Linked DNA regions of Oryzias latipes. The protein of the gene in region 1 purifies or fractionates together with the protein of each later gene. This does not show direct contact. Links are inferred from orthologs where the notes say so. Each region holds a gene or a part of one and is shown in the gene's direction. Other genes may lie near its edges. The genes, in order: bag3 and pdlim7.

Region 1 (4,423 bases):
CCCGTTTGTGTCAGCTATAACTGGAACAGAGGGGATTTCTGGAAGCTCGGGTCAGGTGTCAGCGCGTGTGAACTTGTTTTTAAACACCTTTCATGTTTTAATGTTCAGCTATCGAGTTATTTTTATTCTTCTGTTTAAACTCTGCTGTAATGTCCGGACTTGATGCTGTGTGCTTTATAAAGTTAGGCTTTGTGTAGCCTGTAGAGTTCTTTTTACAGATTTTTGACTAATCAGAATAATTTTATTGTCATTGTATATGGTGATACAATGTAATTGCAGCAGCCTTGGAGTGATGAAGATAAATAAAATATGTATTTAGTGTAAAATTTAAATGTAAAGAAAAAAAATTAATTCACACGACACTAATGTGATTATCCTTATAACAACAGTATAGTAAAGGGAGAATGGATTATTTTACAATAACTCTAACCCATAAACAGTTTATCCCAGTATATATGGTGAGTCATAAACAGTCTCTGACATGACCTTATAGAGTCACAGAAAGCTTAGCCTTATCTTTATAAAGGACATTATTATTATTATTATTAAGAGTTTAACTATTAATCTAGTTAATTAATAGTTAATTAATATTAATTAATTTCTATTTGTACAATCGAGTGGACCTATACCATTATAAACTCGTGTCAAAATCAATTAAATCAATATTAGAAAATTCCATCTGGATTGAGGTAAAATTAATGGTCACACTCCTAATTATTTATTAATTTTTTCAACATGAATAATTTACTCTCCTGTTTTGCAGCATTTGACATAATTTAAACTATTTATAAATAACAATGGTTTCAAATATCAGTTTGATAATCAAACAGCTGTTTGCTGCACATATTTAGAATGACTACTTTGTATGTTTTTAAATCTTTTAAAGTTGTTTTAAAGTTTAGATCCTTCATATATGTTTAACATAATCATTAGATAGTATCCACTAGAATTTAGATTCCAAAAAGCGGCTTTAATATGAAATATTGATGAAAGCAAATGTTTGTCTGGACTGGAAAACAGAGTAATGTTATAAGCAGCTGTCTCTTTGTGGGGGGGTTGTGTTTGAACCTTTTGATTTTTCATTTTGTTTGTAGATTTTTACTCATTTTTAATGATAAAATAGAATTGGACTAGTTTATTTAGTGACCAAATCTCATTGAACATGTGTTCCTCGCCGGAGGCACGCATGTGTTTTTGAACATGTTTAGCCCCCCCCCCCCGTCTGGGCTCTGATGGAGTCGTCTCCGCTGCTCTCCGGTCCGTCGTCACGTTTCAGGTGGAGCTGCTCTCGGTAAACCCTCGTGGGGGTCTCCGGCTTGGATCTGCAGCTCCGCCCCCCCCCCCCCCCCCGCCCCCCTTGCCGCCCCCACAGTTAACCCTGCTATTTCCAGAAGCTTCCAGCCCACTTCCCCACGTCACTCCACGGAGTCTTTAAAGCGCCCGCCGCCCGTATAAAATGTCTTAGTACCGGAGCGCGAGCAGCATGAGCGCCGTGCAGACACGCGCCCCCGCGCCGACCATGGCTAACAACGACAGCGACCCCCTGCCCCTCGGCTGGGAGGTCAAAATCGACCCCCAGACCGGATGGCCGTTTTTCGTGGATCACAACAACCGAACCACAACCTGGAATGACCCGAGACACGTCGCGACAAAGGTGAAGGAGCGCGCGGGCAAAGTTGCTTCCCCGGCGGGAAGCGCTCGCGGGGAATCTGCGTTGGTTGTTTCTGCGGAACATTGTATTGTCGGTGGTAACGGCTGATCGGTCCCGCCATGTCCTCGTGTCATCATAACTATTATTACGCGATGAGTCACCCTGCAGTATGTGGCGGCCGGGACGGGGGGGCCGTTTTCACATTAAGGTCATTTTCCCAGCAGGGACCGCGGCTGGGCTGCTGTGTGTGGCGGGGGCTGCTGGGCGGGCGGTCCCGGGCAGAGGGCAAAGGGTCGTTCCGGAGGAGACACCGACGGGGTACCGATTGTTGACCGTTTTCCTCCAGGTTTTGGTCTCCTTTGGTTGGGGAGGGGGGGGGGGCATCAGACCTGTTGCTCTCTGCTCCTTCACTTCTTCCTGACATCTCGTGCTTTTATTTTTAAATTCTCTTCCTGTCTGATCGGTTTTCATGGAGGAAAATAGTTCACAGCGGTGACCTGTTCCATAAAGAACATTCAAAAAGACAAACAGTTGGTCTCCTTCAGATTAAAAGTGCTGTCCTGTGTGATGTTGGCGTGTTGGGGGTCAGAGGGGGGGGGCGCTGGGCACAGGGACACATCTTCAGGAGGCAAACTAGCAGCTGCCGGGCTGGAATGCAGAGGTTGTTCTGGCAGGGCAGCGTCACTTTTGGCTGCTGGGTGAGGAAATGTGACCCGGGACGGAGAAGGCGGAACGTGGATCTGGAGAAAGCGGAACGTGGATCTGGAGAAGGCGGAACGTGGATCTGGAGAAAGCGGAACGTGGATCTGGAGAAAGCGGAACGTGGATCTGGAGAAGGCAGAACGTGGATCTGTGGAGGATTTCCACCTGCGGCCGGACGGTCGCGAACACAGACGTCTGCACAGACGCTCACCTGACGTCAACGGCCCAAAGCACCGTTATATTTGGAAAACACACCTGGAAAACATGGAGGCAGCATGAGACGGGGGCTTTGTGAGCAGCTGTGGTGCAGAGGTAGAGCGGTTGACTCTGGATTAGGAGGTCTCGGGTTTGATTCTGGCCTTGCTCTGCCCCCATCAGAGTGTGTAAAGCACTTTAGGCTTTAGAAAAGCACTATAGAAGCACAAATACACAATTATACAAAATATCACTGATGAATCAGTGGTGGAAGTCTTAAAGTTTTTACCTGAGATTTGTGTGTGTTTTTTTAATGAATTTAAAGGTTTTTTGGTTCTAAATTCTTTCCCCTGCCTATATTTCAGAGTAGAGAAGCAAACGGACCCAACATACCTCCAGAACAACATCCTAAGGAGACCCAGAAGACCTTTACCCGAGAGATGAAGCACCCGATTCTGCGGCCCGGCTACATCCCCATCCCCGTCTTCCATGAGGGCGCAGAGCTGCGGCAGCAGCCGCCGCATCCCTGCTGTACGTACATCCAGCCAAGCACAGCGCAGAGTGTCCGGTACGAAGGTCAGGCTCCTTCGCACGCCTCCGGACTTCACGGCAGGCCCAGATCGCCGTTACACGTGGCCTCAGACAGCTGCTCCTCTGAGCCCGGGAGGGCCAGCACGCCCACGCCGCCAACCACAGAGGTACGGGTAACATTTGGGTTCTTCACTGACAGCCACCCTTGATTACAGTGGGAGTTTTCAAAATAACGCATTTCATACACGGAGGAGATTGATTGACAAGGTCAACAGCCAATCAGGATGCAGAACATAGCGAGCTGTGAAGTAAAATGGAAATTGGCTATAAAAAGGTGGCCGGCGATCTAGTGAGGGACCAGCATGAGCTGAAGCGGGTAACATTTGTGCGACCAAACGTGTTCACTGCGTTCTGACTGTGTTGCTGCTCAGGTGCACACCGCCACACACCACCAACCGTGTCGACCCGGCAGCACCGGCCTCCAGGCCGGTTACATTCCTATTCCAGTCATCCATGAGGGCGGAGGGGGTCCGCCTCAGGTAAACCCCGCCGTCTACTCTCAGCGCGCCCCCTACCAGCGCCTCCAGACAGACGAACGGCCCGCCTACTCTGCGGCGCCGTCTTCTCGGGAAAGTGCTTCCCCGACGTCGCTGTTCCCGCAGCACCGGGACGCAGCGTCTGCCCGCCTCCCACCTTCGCTTAGGAGCCAGTCCCCGACGGTATCGCAGCTGCAGGCGGACAGACCGCAGGTGGGCTTTCCGGTCTTTTCCTTTTGCCAGCGTGTCCCAGATTCTGACATAAAACTGTAACTTTGTTATTTGGATCTCAGCAGAACCTCCTCACTAGAGACCCGGCCCAGAAAGTGGAGCAGGAGCTGCAGAAAGCAGAGAACCTGCCGGTTCCTCAACCGCAGCTCACAGAGGTGGACGCTCCACATCTGGAGCAGCCTCAGTCCCAGGAGCCGCAGCATCACGTTGCAGACATCACGGTTCAAATCCCTCCAAAAGCAGAGGTTCAGGACCCAGCCGGCCCTGAAGCCCCCCCAACCAGAGCAGAGGGGGAGCAGGGCGCCGTTCACCCGGGCTTGGCGAAGGTTCAGCAGATCGTGGGACGGGTGGCTTCGCTGGAGCAGGAGGCCAAGGCTTTCAGCGGGAAGAAAAATGATAAGAAATACCTGCTGCTGGAGGAGCTGCTGACCAAAGAGCTGCTGGCTCTGGACTCTGTCGACCCGGAGGGACGCGCAGATGTGCGGCAGGCCCGGCGCGATGGAGTCCGGCGGGTTCAGACCATACTGGAGGAGCTGGAACAGCTGGAGGAGCGGCCAGCCAAGCCCACCAGTGAGAC
Region 2 (3,819 bases), on another chromosome or scaffold:
CCAGTGAAAATCACAAATCATTAAGGAAAAAAGATTCAGCGCACTGTCTTGTGGGGTCTAGATGACCCTACTCCCAATGTTAAAGTGCCTTGGATAGCACAAGGGTTACAGCTGCACGCTTATGCTGACTAAGCCCTTACTAATACATGGTTTCGTCTCTGCGCGGTGCAGCAGAGCATACATCAAGGCGGTGCTGTATGTGCACGTGTGCAGAACCATCACTGAATGTTGGGTTGAAGTGATGTCAGGCCCTCCTGTCGCGACAGGACTCCAGCTCTGACTCGCACGCCTGCAAGCCTCCCTGTCGGCGTGAGGGGATGATGTCATCCTTTTGTCAGCCTGTCATGAGTGAGAATGCATTTGATTCCAGTAAAGCCTCTGACTAACGATAACATGTGGACCTTTTCTTCAGCTATCAAGCGCGTCTTTCATAGTCTTAAGTCACATCTGGTCTCGATCGTTTGCCGTTGATGGATGACATCAGGATGACCTTATAATGTCTGTTTTGCGGAAAGGCTGAGTGAAACAGACGGGTACGCTCCTCCTGTTAATTATTGGGTGCTAACAGATGTTACAGACAGCCAGCTGAACATGACTTAGTGTGTTTCTGTATATGTGAGGTACTGTGAGGTAACGTTGTAAAAACAGGAGACTTATTACTACACTCTGTAGGAATCTCTGTCGATAAGATAAGCAAACAAAATAAATCAAATAAAAAAGAAAAACACATTTCTTTTGACACTTTCTAAAATCAAATTGCACCTAAAAAGGATTGGGAAAATAAAGCTTTTACAATTTATTACAGATCAATTGAAACCCTTAAAACTCAGTTTCACTTAAGTTAAGTTAAAAATAAACAGAAATATACCCAAAAATGACTCCTTACGAGGCCTGCACAATAAATCGCATCATGAGTTCAGCCTTTGTGATAAATGGTTACCTCAAATTATAACATACATGCTAAATTGATCTCATGGGATCTTAAAGTATTTAACAAATCAAATAAAAACCCTTTCTTGATTTGACCATTCGGACTGACCCGTTCACGTCGCTGACCAATCAGATGTTATGTGGGTCATTTGGAGTATAATTTAAGTTAAGTTGACTTCTATTTAAATAAAACAGTTGAAAGGAAACGGAAATTATGTAATAATATTGACTACTAAGATCACACATTGCAAGTTTTTCTGCTATCCTGCAGCCCTAGTCCTAGTCCTCCTTTTTTCTTTTTAGAAAGATGTTTTAATTCTGTAAAACACATTGCATTACTCTATAACATAAAATGCTTTATAAATAAAGATTGATTTGATGTATGACTTTTATTAAAACATGGATTTTTCACATGGATGCATTACCTTTAAAAAACATGCAAAGATGCACAATTAGTTTTTTTTTACTTGATTTTTTTTTCTTTAACTTGTTTTGTCCAACAGCTGAGCAAACAGATTAGAGCTGAAGGCTTTTTGTGTTGGACAGGTTTTACTATCACAAAAAGAGGTTATATAGCTTCGAGAAACCAGGGTGTAGATTTGTATAAACCCCTTTTTGTTGTATTATTTTTTATTTATTTGTTAAATTCAGTGTGTGTGGGGAGGGAGAGGGGAAGAATGTGAGGGGGGGGGGGGGGGGGGGAGAGTAAAAGGAAGAGAGGTGAGAAAGTGGGGGATACAAGTACTGATTTGAATAAGTTATTATTTTAAGCTGTAACAATCACACCAGATCTGCTGGAAAGACAAAGTTTTTTTTACTTGGTAATAAATAGATTTTATCTACGTGTTTTAAAAAAATGTATTCTTGTTTATTCATTTTTTGCGTTATCGGCTACCTATATGTTTTTTCTGACCTGCTGAAGTTGCTTCTCCGTCATATGGGTTTCATTTCATAACTCTGTTAATAATCTTCTCCCACTAAATCACTTCTGCATCTTTGTCCTCCACAGCTGACTCCAGGTGGAAAGGCGGCTCAGGCTGGAGTCGGGGTGGGAGACTGGGTGGTTTCGATCTGTGATGCCAATGCTGAAGACATGACTCATGTGGAGGCACAGAACAAGATTAGAGCAGCAACAGACTCCCTCACCCTCACCCTCAGCAGGTAAGCCGGAACAGGATTTCTCATTCCTCCCATGGACTCACAACAATCTAAATATTCAAAAAACACTCACTGGCACTTTTTATGAGACTGAGGGAACTTTCAAGTTTGCTTTACGTTGACAGATTATTGCAAAAATTAGGGCTGCACGATATGAAGAAAACTCGCAATATGCGATATTGGTGATCAATACTGCAGAGACGATATAACTTGCGTTTAACGAACAAATGGCAAAAACAACAAAAACATTTCCATTTCACTGCAAAAGTTTAATTTAAATAGGAGTCAAAATACCTTAGATTATTCTCCAAATGACCTTTGTTTAATTAGCAGGGGAAAATCTAACATAAAAGCTCCACCTGATTGGTCAACAACGTGAAGGGCTCCATCTGATTGGTTAAATGCATACAGGGATTTATTATATTCATTGAAGAGTTCAAGTTGCCATAAGATTGTTTTAGCACATTTAAGGTTTACCATTTATCGTGATTTTTGCTGACTTTTGCCATATGGATATTGCACAGCCTGAAATCGCGATAATGATAAATTTGTGAATAATTGTACAAGCCTAGCAAAAATACAAAAAAAATATTATTTTAACCTTTTTTTTCTTCTTTCAAACGGGCACAGCATTTGTTTTCATAAGTGCTGATTTGTTTAAGATTGCCTTCTGTTTTATTTTGTATTATTTTAGTGATTTAATTTTTGTTTAATTTGATTATTTCCCTCTGTTGATTCTAAAGGTGCAGGAACATTTACATTAGCAGGTTAAGCTTACACTTTAGTCATCTTTAATATATTTTTTATGGCAAATGTAAAACAAACTTGCATCCAATTAAATCAGCTTTGAAATGGCTGGTTTTCATTTTAAATATGAAAAATTATTTGAGGTGTTAAGGACTAAAAGATGGTTTGAATTATAGCATTTGACCTTTGCAGGTTTATAAAAAAAAACCTACATTTTACCAGAGGAACAAACTCTGACAACTCATCACTCTGGTTTAATATGCAACAAAAAGTTCAAATATAGCTGGAATCTGTGTTTAAAACACAGTTTAATAATTGTCTGAGGTGTAAGTCAAGCACAACTAGTGATTTATTAAAAGCTATTAACTGAGGCATGCACACAATTTCATCTCTACATCCAGCTCTAGTATTTGTCTTCTTTTCCACAGCAGCTCCTGGTGGCTCTGTGTGCTGACCTTCTGTTCTTTTAATCTAAACTATTCCAAAAGAAAACCTCACATCCTGAAAAAGCACCAGAAACACACAAAAAGGACACGCAATTTCTCATAAAAGCACTTTTTTTTAAATTCAGTAAGAAAATAATTTGCAGCAGACTGCATGCCCGTCGGCAGAATTTGCACACATTAGTCTGCAAATACTTTTTATAAAGTCTCTCTGAAGACTAGAGGAAATGTTTCATCTGCAGTGTGGACATAAAAAAAGATTTTAGGCCCAAAGAGAGATAAAAATGTAATCATTCAAGGGCCTAAAACCTTCAGAAAATGAGAAGGTATCGACTTGTTAGAGCAATAAAGATGAGCTTGCTGCTTTTATGGGACTCATTTTGATTTTTTTGATCCTCGTAAGTAATAAGAGAAAAGCTGTGTTATCTTGTTCACCTTACTACTGCCTGCCAAGAGTCTCTTCTTTTACATTTCAACACCTTTTCTTTTTTGAACTTATTTTGAGAGAACGACCGCAGGTTTTTCAAGTTTTGTTTTTTAT

Evidence for each region.
Region 2: the proteins of bag3 (region 1) and pdlim7 purify together in Homo sapiens (affinity purification with mass spectrometry; 3 studies listed by BioGRID and IntAct, counting the BioPlex papers as one, with this or other methods). This does not show direct contact. The link is inferred for Oryzias latipes from reciprocal best matches to the Homo sapiens genes BAG3 and PDLIM7.

The regions. Positions count from the first base shown.
Region 1 is NC_019873.2:29,858,932-29,863,354, forward strand, and holds the start of bag3 (BAG family molecular chaperone regulator 3), read left to right. Parts: upstream 1-1,406; 5' UTR 1,407-1,483; coding exon 1,484-1,654; intron 1,655-2,913; coding exon 2,914-3,246; intron 3,247-3,510; coding exon 3,511-3,828; intron 3,829-3,908; coding exon 3,909-4,423. UniProt on the Homo sapiens protein: Co-chaperone and adapter protein that connects different classes of molecular chaperones including heat shock proteins 70 (HSP70s), e.g. HSPA1A/HSP70 or HSPA8/HSC70, and small heat shock proteins (sHSPs), e.g. HSPB8.
Region 2 is NC_019868.2:19,535,337-19,539,155, reverse strand, and holds part of pdlim7 (PDZ and LIM domain protein 7), read left to right. Parts: intron 1-1,939; coding exon 1,940-2,091; intron 2,092-3,819. UniProt on the Homo sapiens protein: May function as a scaffold on which the coordinated assembly of proteins can occur. May play a role as an adapter that, via its PDZ domain, localizes LIM-binding proteins to actin filaments of both skeletal muscle and nonmuscle tissues.